Arabidopsis thaliana: one gene and its partner. The protein of the gene in region 1 interacts with the protein of each later gene in a biochemical or structural test. Each region holds a gene or a part of one and is shown on either strand. Other genes may lie near its edges.

Region 1 (4,814 bases):
TACCTTTGGTGAAAAGTTGAAAACTTTAAACTAGCAAAATGAGCTTCATCAGTATAATCTTAGGTTCATCAGTTTCAAATTTGTTGCCACCAATTCAAAGAGCTTCTTCTTATGGTTGCATACCTTGAGAAGAGAAACTGAATGTTGTGAGTAAAGTTTCTTCTTAAGGTATTTTGTAGTTTCCAGGTCTGCAAGTGAGTAAAGCTCCTGGTTAAATCCATGTATGAGCTGCATCTCCCCACTTGAGCTCTTCTAAAGCTACCCTCAGCGAATGGAGTTGAAATTGTGTTTAGATGCAACAGGCTCCAATTTAGCTATAATCTGCTCAACAGCGTCTAAAACTGCAGCACCATACATATCAGAGCTCGCAGAAGCAGCAGTAGGTGACGCGTTAGGAACCTATTAAGAGGCAATCAAAACGACAAGGGAGCAATAACAGTGTGTGAGGCATTTGGAACCTATTAAGAGACCACAAAAATGATAAGAGAGAACAATATCAGTTTTGTCTTGGCCAAAAAGTCCACTGAGTGCATGTAACCGAGTTAGATGTACCTTGTATGTGCTTGTTTCTGACACAAAAACTGAACTAAGGGGAATGACACAACCTTTGTATGCAAATCCTTGACCCATTTCAACACCTCCATGTGTCACCAAAACAGTCCCATTGGTGCAAACATGAACAAGAGCACCGGCCTGTAATAATAATATGTGTTGGAGTAAGTATCTTAAAATCCAGATTCTAGATTTGCAAGCAAAGGTAGTGCAATGCTGAGATTTCCAAGGAAGCTTCATCTTATTCTTTTACCTTTAAAGTTCCTCGAGAGATGACTAAATTTGAAAGAAAAAGGATTCACTTCTAACATGATTCATGAACTTTGTGGTAAATGAATATGACAATTGTGTGGGAACCATAGCTACACCACACCATGCAATGTGCGGAAGAGAGTGAGATTAATGTGTGATGGGATCTTTGCAGTTGAAAGTTCATCTCCTAAAGTCAAGAAAACATTAAACTAACAAAATGAGGACAAACTTTTACCAATTTTCACATTTATAGAAAAATATTCAACTCACTTTGATTTCTTCAGGGGCTCAGCTGAATCTAGTTTTCAATGGTTGCAGAACAAAATGAAAATGAAAATTTTAGTATCTCAAAATCTAGTTTCTATTTTTTTTGGTGACATTAATCAATGATTTCAAAATAACTAAAAACCTCAGAATAAACTCAATTCCATCTTAAAACCACACAACTTTCATAACCGAGGAATGACGAAAAACAAAATAATAGAGGAGGAGCATCACTACTATTTTCATTTTTTTAGCCAATCAGAGCGCACCAGAAAACGCCCACTCGCACCAACCTCGTGCCACGCGCTACAGACCACGCCCACTCGCACCAACCTCGCGTTGAGCGCGTGTCGTCGATTTCTGTAGGGGTAAACCCACAAAATCATGCTTATTTTACATCTACTCGCTTTGTTTCCAAAACAGTCTCGAGTGACTTTTTTTTTTGTTTTTTTTTCTCTAAACCGTACTAATTCTAATGCAAACCGAACCAAAATCAATTTTCATTTCAAAACCATGTAAACCAAACAGAGATCAACATCTAACTAACCGGATTTAACTAGCAATCTAATTCACACAAATCTTTTTTTTTTTTTTTTTTCCTATATCCTTCACAGTCAATAAAAAGAATAAGTGGGCCGTTGTGACTTCAAAATCCCAATAGTGAAAAAGCCCGATTTCGTGTCTCTACAGCCGTAAGGCCCGTAACAAGCCCACGACCTCTAATTTTTCAAAAACAATCAGACCGTTGGGGTTCATTTATTTTCTTTAATTTTGTTTTTATTTCTTATAAAACGGCTCATCGTCCTCAAGAAGCCTCCTATATAGAAGACGCCCCCACTACTTAGACTTTTTCTACTACAAACCTGAGATTTTAGTCTGAGAGAAAGAGAAGAGAACACTAAGATGATGACTTCTCGTTCGATTGTTCCTCAACAATCCACGGGTAAGAGAAAGATCTTTGCTTTTTCTTTTTTTAAGGTTTTTACGGACAAAATTTGATTTGGTTTAGTTTGTGATCTTCGATTTTGGTATCTGGGTTTTGTTCGTTTCTTTCTGTTCTTGTTATATCTATGAACAACGAAACGAATATGTTGCGAATCAAGTATAAAGTCCGTGGCTTTGACTGGAATTTTCTTGATTTGATATGGCTGATGATTGTTGCAAATTGAATCTAAAGTTGTTAACTTTGGTTTTGTTTTGTTGTGTTGAAGATGATGTTGTTGTGGTAGATGGCAAAAACGTAGCGAAAGGAAGAAACCGTCAAGTTCTTGGTGATATAGGTAATGTTGTTCGAGGAAATTACCCAAAGAACAACGAACCGGAAAAGATCAATCATCGTCCTCGTACACGATCTCAAAATCCCACGCTTCTTGTGGAGGATAATCTCAAAGTTTGTTCCTTTTCCCCTGTATTTTGGTGAACAAATTAGGTTTCTTCGTTAGATTTGTTAAACTCATGTCATATGTGTATATGTCTTTGATCTGCAGAAACCTGTAGTCAAGAGAAACGCAGTACCAAAGCCGAAGAAAGTGGCTGGGAAACCAAAGGTAGTAGACGTGATTGAGATAAGTTCAGACAGTGATGAAGAACTTGGTTTAGTTGCTGCTCGAGAGAAGAAGGCTACTAAGAAGAAAGCGACCACTTACACATCTGTTCTTACTGCTAGAAGCAAGGTAATTTTTTACCTTGTGAAATGATGATTCTTTAGTGTGAAGTAAGAAAATGTTTTGGTCTGTTCTGAATAAACTTCTTTTGCTTTTCAGGCTGCTTGTGGTTTAGAGAAGAAACAGAAAGAAAAGATTGTTGATATCGATTCTGCTGATGTTGAGAATGACCTCGCAGCTGTGGAATATGTGGAAGATATTTACAGTTTTTACAAGTCTGTTGAGGTTTGTATACTATACTATTCATGAATCTTTCCTTGCAGCTTTGTTGTAGTATTAACTTGTTTACTTAAATTATCATTTGGATTGGCAGAGTGAATGGAGGCCACGAGATTACATGGCATCTCAGCCTGATATTAATGAAAAGATGAGACTGATCCTGGTGGAGTGGTTGATTGATGTGCATGTCCGATTCGAGCTAAACCCGGAAACATTTTACCTCACTGTTAACATTCTGGATCGGTTCTTGTCGGTTAAGCCAGTGCCTCGAAAAGAACTGCAGCTTGTTGGTCTCAGTGCTCTTCTCATGTCGGCCAAGTATGAAGAAATTTGGCCACCACAGGTGATAAAAACAGAGAACTTTTGAATCTTCTGGTTTTGATTCTTTTTTGTCTTCGGCTAAATGAAAAGATAATTCTTTTGCAGGTGGAGGATCTAGTTGATATTGCAGACCATGCATACAGTCACAAACAGATTCTGGTGATGGAGAAGACAATACTGTCTACACTTGAGTGGTACTTGACAGTTCCGACTCATTATGTCTTCCTAGCTCGTTTCATCAAAGCTTCCATTGCAGACGAAAAGGTAAGAGAGCGTTTTTTTAGTTTCTTCCATGGTTATACATTTCATCATATTGAACATTCAGTTGTGTTTTGGTTTGCAGATGGAGAATATGGTGCACTATTTGGCTGAGTTAGGCGTAATGCATTACGATACGATGATAATGTTCAGTCCATCAATGGTAGCTGCTTCTGCAATCTACGCAGCAAGATCTTCTCTCCGCCAAGTTCCCATATGGACCAGCACTCTCAAGCATCACACTGGCTATTCTGAGACTCAGCTCATGTAAGAAAGTTCCTTTCTTTTTTCATTTGCATCATATGCGTTTTGCATTTGTGGTTGGATATTCATTCTTGTTGTAATGATGAAAAAGGGACTGTGCAAAGCTGTTGGCGTATCAGCAATGGAAGCAACAAGAAGAAGGGAGTGAGAGCAGTACTAAGGGAGCTTTACGAAAGAAATACTCCAAGGACGAACGCTTCGCTGTGGCTTTGATCCCTCCGGCCAAAGCTTTGTTGACCGGAACTGAATCTGCTTAGGAGTTAGGACCCTTTAAGAAGACGAAGAAGCTGAAGAACCAAGCCTAGTTTCATTTTCCTTCTGAAAATCAAGTCTAGTTTCATTAGATAATGGTATTTTGAACAAGTCTAATGAGTCGCTTTGAAACCTAGTCCTTTAGCATGATTCATTCCCAAACACTGCATATCTTGTAAGAAGTCAGTTTCTTCCGAGAAGTTTAATTTCCTTAGATATAATATTCTGTGGTTTAACTTCTTTAGTACACATGATTCATTCCCCAACACAGAATTTCTCTTCTTTTTTTTGATCAAACACCCCAGCACAGTATATGTTTCACCATTTCTTGTGTTCCTTCTGGTCCCGTCCATTCTGGGTTTTAAAACCACCTTCTGGTCTGCAAGATCCCCTTAAACAACTAAGCACTCCCATCTTTGGTGAGCATTTTGTTAGCCACAACCTCATAAGTCTAAATGGAAGTGCTAGCATCCATGCGGAAATTGTAAATCCAATCATCTTTGGATCTTCATCCGGAAAGGGAGAAGGTTTACCATATTAAGTTCCAAGGCCCTTTCTTCTAACCAATTCTTTACACCAATCCAATGTTTTAGATAACCGTGCCTCGAGGATCTCCAATATTGACCGTTTCCTTCTCTTTTCATCTTCAAGATCAAGAGTACGATATGCTAGTGTAAGCAAGTAGATACCTGGGTGCAGTCTCCTGGAGAATACAAAAAGTCATATATAAGTTAGATTACTTCACAAACAACAACTAATACAGAGATG
Region 2 (7,603 bases), on another chromosome or scaffold:
TAATGAGACTCTTGTTTTGTTTTGTTTTTCTTGGCTTTGATATTTGCTTATGGACTAAGGATCAATGTGTGTGGGATTTATAAAGAGGAGAGAAAGAGAAAAACTTTTCTACGAAAAGAAGTACTTAAACGTGGAACATTACACAAACATATTAATATGTTGTGAAATAGCTTTAGGATTTCAATAACCCAAAAAATGGAAAAGAAAAAGAAAATTTGAATTGTATTATCAACTTTAGTTGTACTTTAGATTGCACTATGTATTATAGCCATCTATATATGGATATTAGGTCTTGCTTTTCTAGATGACATACATACAAAAATTTAACTAGTGGAGGTTTTGTAAGATGACTTGGCCTTCTAGTATGATGGTATTGGTATATACGCTTTACAACTATATCTTTTTATTTCAAAAGTTTTTCTTTTTTCGAAAAGGAATGAATCAAAACACTATATTATTGCCACTGTGGCTAAACCTTTTTTCTTTAAACTTTGCTTTTTAGTTTGCCTTAAAAGTTTAAATCTTTCACCAGATAGTTACCATTGGTGCAATGAGTGCCACAAATTTTATGCAAAGAGAAAGGAACAAAAGTTCCAACTTGGAAAAGAAATGAAAATTCAACCCAACTCTATACAATTTTCTGTAATATTACCCTCTAAGTTTATATAATCAGTTTTGTTTTAGGGTTAGTCCACAAGACTGATCTAAAGATGAGAAAAATTACAGATGACTTTGGGTTATATGAGAAACATAATCTGGTGTATTACCTGCACAATAAATCTACAAATTTTCCTCCGTCACCAGCTCGTCTGGTAGTATCAACCTCTCCATGTAAGCCTGTAGGCACAGACAGTGAATAAAATTCTATTAAGTAAGTTTTTAAGGATTTATCATGAGATTATGAGAAATATAACGTTTTGATTAATTATCCATTATTCGATCTCATATTAACTAATTTCAACTCCTAAATGCAAAATGTGACCATGATTGATGCTTGTGAAGCAAAAACAGGAAAGGAGTAATTAACCTTTATCTTGACAGCATCAGATGGAGAAGGGCTTAAATCCAAAGCAATGCCGAAATGTAACACGGCTTTGTCGTATTGCTTTAGCTGATTGTATATTTTGCCAAGCGATGCATGGACACTGCTTTCTTGAGGAGCACATTCTTTGAGCTCTTCTAAAACTTTCTGTGCTTTGTGATAATCACCTAGGCTGGTTAATATGTGAGCCTTGTAGTACTTGGGGAGCGGATTCTTTGCATCAGTGAGTACAGCCTTCTCCATCATCATCAACGCCTCATCGTTTCTCTGCAAAATATTATCTCAACCTTAAAAATTATCTCTGGACTATAACTTTCTGGAAAGCTAAATTTCACAGCCAAATAAGAACATCACAAAGTCATAAAGAGTAATATATGATATTAGGGATGTGTTAGTGTGTACTGGTTTGGTTAAGGAATAAAGGTATCGATATTCTAAACTTAACAGATTGTTGATGTGAAGAGCGTATTTCAGATACCTTTGACTCATGCAAAGCAATTCCATAGTAACACATGATGACTGAAGATCTTGGATTTATTTGGAGAGCCAGTTGAAATTGATGCTGCGCAAACTCGAATTTCTCCTGACGAAGATAGGTCATTCCAAGACCGTACCATGCATTATAGTGTCTCGTATCTATGCCCAGAGCCTTCCGGTAGCATCTCTCTGCATCCTCGAATTCTTCCAATGCGGCAAACCTGTGCAGCCAAGGTGAGACCGGTATGTTATTAACGTACATGCATATGCCGATTATGCGCAAAAGATGCATCGAAAAGAATTGTACTCGTGGCCACAAAGGGTATGTGCATATGTGAATCTTTCATTCAGTTGGATAGCTCTCTGAAACATTTTGAGAGCAGTATCATGATCCTTACGCAAACTGTAACAGTTCCCAACTGCACACCTGCAATTCATATTGCGACCACAGTCATTACAGAAAAAAATACAAGCAAAGAGAAAAGTCTGCAGTTTCAGATTTTGATATGCTAGTGCAAAAAGCTGGTTTCCATTGACGGTATGTGGTTAAAGCTTGTGGTGTTAGAGTCTCGACGTAGACATATGTGGGTTGATCATGTAAGTTTTGCGAAACGAAAGCGGAAGAGCATATTGGTAATGAAGATTCTAAGAATGATACCAGGATTCTGGAGACAGGCGATCAACTGAAATCAGTTCCTGAGCCAGATAGCCCAACCTCATCTCTTCTTTCAGGTGCTTCAAAAACAAAAATACGAAATTACTAAAAGTAAAAAACAATTACATAGAAATCCTTGCAGGTCAATCAAAAATCAAGTTCTCTATGCTGATATCACAACAGGATAATGTTCAGAGTCAACATCATGTTCAAGATTAGTTCGGGACTGTTCATAATGAATAATAGGAAAATTTGCAAATAGTGACAACAGCTCACATAAAGAACAGTGGAGTATGTATCCATTCCTTCCAAAGCATAAGGATACTTTTGATGAGCAAGAGTAAAGGAAGAGTCAGCGTTGAAGTAGTCTTGTAGCTCAAAATATGCTTTTCCAACCTATTTCAAAATGTATCCATGGTTTTTAGTTTCAGTGTCAAAAACCAACAAAATGGAATTAGAAAATGACGTCAATGACCAAATAAGATCATTCCAATGAAAAAGGAGCAAAGAAAAAGCCATTCATATTATCACCTGCATGAGAACCCAGTGTGTATTGTATTGTTTCTGAGATAGCTTTTGATATGCCAACAAAGCTTCCTGCAGTAGTATCCATTTTTGTCATTTTAGGCTTCGACATCGATACTTTAACTTTTAAGCAGAGAATTCAAGTTGAAGAATATGAACCCAATACACACATTGTCTTAGTAAAGTACCTGACACTTGTACATATGTAAATGCCTGTGGCCATCTCCAAGAATTTTCAGAAGGCTTAGCACTTCTGAAATTCCAGAAATAAGGCTGAAACGATCCGGGGAAGATTCACTAGGATTTGACTTTTCCTCATCATCAACAGAGCTTCCAATGTCACTTACAGACTGGCCTGACGTCGTTGCTGGATCATTTAGAGTAACGGTATCAGGAATCACTGCACATATATGTTCAAGTCTTATTGTCATGTAAATTACTTAAGCCACCTATATTATTACATCATGAATTTTAACTAGAGATCTAACTTTTTCCATTTCAAAAATTACAACCAATTGAGGCTCTATAGTCCGGTTTGGGAGACAGAAAAGAAAAATATGATAGTAAAACATCACCTTCTTTGCTGCTTTGGATTCTGCATTTTCCAATCATCGAGGAAAGAGAAGGTGCATAGTTTGACTCGGAAGGTGAAAGATGTAACCAATGGGAATCTTTTCCAAATGACTGCGACATAGGATTCTTTTTCCTTGCTGCTATTCTAGCACTACGGCGGCGCCCAGATTCTTCTTGAGCCTTCAAGATAAGGAAAGTAAAAGAAGACCAATAAATCAAGTAGCTTTAGATGGTCCAGCCATAGAGCTAGAAGATAGAAACAAGGTGGGGGAAGCTCTATGTTAAAAACTTAAAATATCTGCAGTGCTAGATAGATGATCATTCTTCGCCTATGCATTAATAAGAAAACTCTTATGCAAAGAAAACAAGGAAGAAATCACTCAAAGCCCATTGTAGATATATAACCTCTGCTGACAATTCTTCACTAAAAAAGTTTCTTCGACGCACACGCACTCCATGTACAGACATCAAAGATCCTTCCACTGCTGGACGACGCATATTCTTAAGAAGCAGAGGCGGTAGAGCATCCATTACCTGAACGATAAAGATACTTAAAGATAGGGAAAACAGCTTACAAACTTCTCATTACCTTATGAAAGAAATATAGCTCTTGAAGAAGATAGTAGACATTGAATAACTGAGGATTTCAAGCTAGTAACTAATATGTTCTCATACTAGCTCGACTTAATTATATCACCTGTAAAAGCACTGGAGAAGGTGTGTTCAAGTCCCATCCGTTTGTACTAAGTTGCCTGTCAGTATTTGGTGGAATATCTCCAGGCTGCTGCATAATTTTCAGATCTTGTTGGTTCTCTCCTGGAATGTGTTCTGTTTGCGATAAACCTGTATCTTTTAAGGCCTTATCAGAATCTGTAATCTGGTCTATGGTTGCTCCTTCTGAGAAGCTTATTCTTTGTTCTACACAAGTTTTCTGAAGACGCTGGGAAGCAACATTCCCGAAAACTGTTGAGGCTTCTTCAGCGGCACCTGAAAAGGTAATCACAGAACGCCATTGCAGAGAATTGAATTTGTTGCTCTAGATATCCAGCTGGAATAACGGAAACATAAACTGATAAATACATAATTCATACAGAGGTTTCACTTACCTAAACTACAAAGTTCTCCATATGCTTCCCAACACAATGGATCAAATGACAATGCCATCCTAAACTGTTGTATTGAACAGTTCTTCCTCCCAGAATATCTGCAATCATGTAACAGAGAGTAACACACATCAAACTTAGATAATGGAACATATGCAGCAAACTACTAAGCTTGTTACAGCATCAGTATACCAACACAGAGAAGTACTAAACATTAAAGCATGCGAGAGACACCAATATCTCATACAGAACTTGAAAAGTAAATTAGCAGTCACCTATATATAAGACCAAGAAGATAATGCCCAGCTGCACCACCAGGAACCTGCATGTCAAAAATACAGTAGTCACTAGTCAGCACTTGCCAATTTTCACTCCCAAAAGACTAGCTTGCAAAAGATGTGTACAATGCCCATGGATATGGAGAATTTTTATAAAAGAAGTAAAAAAGCAATGCCATATACTTCTTCAGCATAATCTTCACAGGGCAACAATGCAGCTTCAGCCTCTCCAAGAAGATCCAACTTAAAGCATGAGAATGCAAATAAATACCGAGACTGAGGCGTTTTTGAACCTTCATTTCACAATGTAAAACAAGTTTAGTTTTTCCAAACACAAATAAAACAATATATGAAATGTTCACATATAGCACCAGTACCGAAGAATGTAGAGTACCTTTAAGGATATAATATGCACTATAAGCTTGACTGTTACTCAAGTAACACCTGGCTAACAATTGCAGGTTCACCTGCATAATGAAGTAGTTGATCACCACCAGATTCACATAACCAAAAAAATATATCAAGGGATGTGAAATTCGAGTAACGGTATCAATCTGAATTGACATTGGCATACATCAAACAGAAATCTCAACCTAGAAATTCCAGGTTTGGAATAAAATCACAAAATCAACTCAAAATCATAAACATTTCAGTCAAATTGAATTGCATCCTCTAGATTCCGACAAAATCGAAATAGAGTTTGATCCTTAAAAACAAAGCCCAGAATTGAACTCCGCATAAATCGAGAATTGTCTATTCGCAAACAACTCAAAAAGTCACACAACAAAAGACAGCTACGACTAGAAGATCGGATCAGACCACAAGAGCAACAAAAACTGAGAAAACGAAAAAAGTCACTCCACATCTTAAAAATGATGTGATCGAAAGAGACGAAGCTAAGATTTGAAAATCGAAATGGAGTTGAATATAGAAGAATCGAAATCGAGATACCTCAGATGGAAATTGGGCGAGAAGAAGTTCGCAAAGGAAGATAGCATTGGTGAACATAAAATGGTTAAGGTTTTTCTGGACACAATTCGCCAGTAGATTCTCCATCATCTGATGATGATGATGACCAAATTGACGAGACAATCGATGTTGTTGTTGTTCCTCGGAGGCTGTGTGTGTAATGTCGCCTAAGTAATCGCGCGCCGCTAAAGTATTTCAAAAGCCTAACTTTCTCACGCGACGAGCGTGTGATTTTTGTGACACTAGTGCCCCAGATTTTTTTGGTGGACGAGACAACAAGACAAGGACCGCGTTTGGCGTTTTAAGAAAAAATCGCGTTCTGGAATAGAAATCAAGTTTCAGACAAAGAACACAAATGAAGTAAGATTAGAGTGCCCCAAATTTAGATATGCAACTGAAATTATATAGCTTAAACATTGAATTTATAACTATGGAAATTCATCTATAATGTATCTTAAACGCAATTGCTTGTTGTAAAATCGTTGGGTAACAAACGCGACAATTTTTTCAATATTCCCATAACGATCTTTTATGTGACCGTTAAATAACAAACGCGATAATTTTTTCACACCCTAAACGACTTTTTGTATAACCGTTAGATAAAAAAACGCGGCAATTTTCTCTTAAACCTTTCAAAACGATCTTTTGTATTAAAACGATGACGTATTCTAACTTGAGTATTTCTTCTTATTTTAGAAAAGTATTTGTGAAAACATACTCAAAATCTCTTTAAATTAAGTTAAGGATAAGATGAGAGATATTGCATTAATGCTAATAGAATTCTCACATTTTAAGGATACTAATTGGTAAGTATATGCTAGATATTTATGTATTGTTGACCAAAAAAATAATAACACAAATTAGCTTACAAGTTACAACCATTTAATTTTACACCATGTTGGATTGAGAATTTTGATGGTTATTCCTTTATATGTTGAAGAAACCTTCTGGGCCAACAACTTTCCAAATAGGCCCAATTCAAACCCATTGTACAAATGCAAGGCTACTTTCGTCATTTTTCGTAAGGCGCTTGAATTTTGCGTTTTCAGAATCTTGGTTTCTAGGGTTTCACTTACCTTCCCTCCGCGCCCTTGAGCTCTCTACCTGAGCTTCTCCGGGATTCCTAAAGCTGAAATTCAAACACCTCCATTTTCATCCTCAAGGTTTGCTCTCTCTCTCTCCCTCTCCATCGATCCATTAGATAGTGTGATTACTCCTATTTGTGTACTGTCTTCGATGATTGGCGTCAATCTTACTACCTTCTCGTTTAAAACCCAGTAACTTGCGATTTTGTTGAACTTTTTCCTCAATTTTCTTTCGATTAATCCTCTAGAAACCCGTAGCTAAGCTTAGATTAGTGATTTCAATCGCAAGATTCAATATTGATCTTGCCCAAGTGAATTAAAGTCGCAAAATTGATTTGTTTTTGTTTTTTTAGCTTTCTTATGTAATTTTGCTCAAAGCTATATGATTTTTTGTCTTTGCAGGGAGATAAATAAAACTCTATTGAGTAGAAAATGAGTGCTGCAGCACACAGGACTCCTAAATCAGGGAGGCAATCTCTGCTATTTCAAGATTTAGCTTCTCCTGTTTCAGCACGTAGAGGGAAATTCTCGAGTCCGGGACAGGCAGCTGCGGTATCTGCACTATGGCGTGAGAATTTCGGAGGATCTGATCTTCCACCACCTCCAATGTATACTTTGGATGACCGGTCCGATTTCTCTCCTGAGTCTGGTATTGCAGACTACTCTGCGTCTCCAGATGCTAAGTCTGACAGAAGAACACCATTCCAGAGTTCTGGAAAGAATATTGTAACTCCTGGTAAAGGAAAGTTGGAAGCAAGCCCTTCTTTTTCTCTACTGAATGCACAACAGAGTCAGCAAGTTTCAGGGAGTCCGAGTTGGTGGTCGCAGTCAAAGGCAGGTAGTAGTACCGAGCAGGATGATAAAGGGAAGGGATCTCCTGTAGAAGGGGTGGTTCA

The links. The genes of interacting proteins can lie anywhere in the genome.
Region 2: of the proteins of CYCB1;1 (region 1) and CDC27a, one has a biochemical effect on the other in vitro, tested with the Arabidopsis thaliana proteins (one study listed by BioGRID).

Annotation. Positions count from the first base shown.
Region 1 is NC_003075.7:17,621,366-17,626,179, reverse strand, and holds CYCB1;1 (CYCLIN B1;1), read left to right. Parts: upstream 1-1,871; 5' UTR 1,872-1,971; coding exon 1,972-2,011; intron 2,012-2,279; coding exon 2,280-2,458; intron 2,459-2,555; coding exon 2,556-2,741; intron 2,742-2,831; coding exon 2,832-2,957; intron 2,958-3,045; coding exon 3,046-3,294; intron 3,295-3,377; coding exon 3,378-3,536; intron 3,537-3,615; coding exon 3,616-3,797; intron 3,798-3,885; coding exon 3,886-4,051; 3' UTR 4,052-4,294; downstream 4,295-4,814. Other genes in the region: AT4G37500 (Aldehyde oxidase/xanthine dehydrogenase, molybdopterin binding protein), read right to left, coding at 265-399, 553-792; AT4G37483 (uncharacterized protein), read left to right, coding at 4,360-4,587; AT4G37480 (Chaperone DnaJ-domain superfamily protein), read right to left, coding at 4,584-4,749.
Region 2 is NC_003074.8:5,527,643-5,535,245, reverse strand, and holds CDC27a (Tetratricopeptide repeat (TPR)-like superfamily protein), read right to left. Parts: upstream 5,934-7,603; 5' UTR 5,713-5,933; coding exon 5,605-5,712; intron 5,121-5,604; coding exon 5,048-5,120; intron 4,947-5,047; coding exon 4,837-4,946; intron 4,698-4,836; coding exon 4,651-4,697; intron 4,477-4,650; coding exon 4,379-4,476; intron 4,260-4,378; coding exon 3,970-4,259; intron 3,807-3,969; coding exon 3,678-3,806; intron 3,453-3,677; coding exon 3,275-3,452; intron 3,100-3,274; coding exon 2,888-3,099; intron 2,772-2,887; coding exon 2,706-2,771; intron 2,571-2,705; coding exon 2,451-2,570; intron 2,255-2,450; coding exon 2,178-2,254; intron 1,947-2,177; coding exon 1,827-1,946; coding exon of another isoform or gene 1,793-1,826; exon of another isoform or gene 1,741-1,792; coding exon 1,521-1,740; intron 1,310-1,520; coding exon 1,028-1,309; intron 838-1,027; coding exon 781-837; 3' UTR 512-780; downstream 1-511. Other genes in the region: AT3G16310 (mitotic phosphoprotein N' end (MPPN) family protein), read left to right, coding at 7,140-7,603. UniProt on the Arabidopsis thaliana protein: Component of the anaphase promoting complex/cyclosome (APC/C), a cell cycle-regulated E3 ubiquitin-protein ligase complex that controls progression through mitosis and the G1 phase of the cell cycle.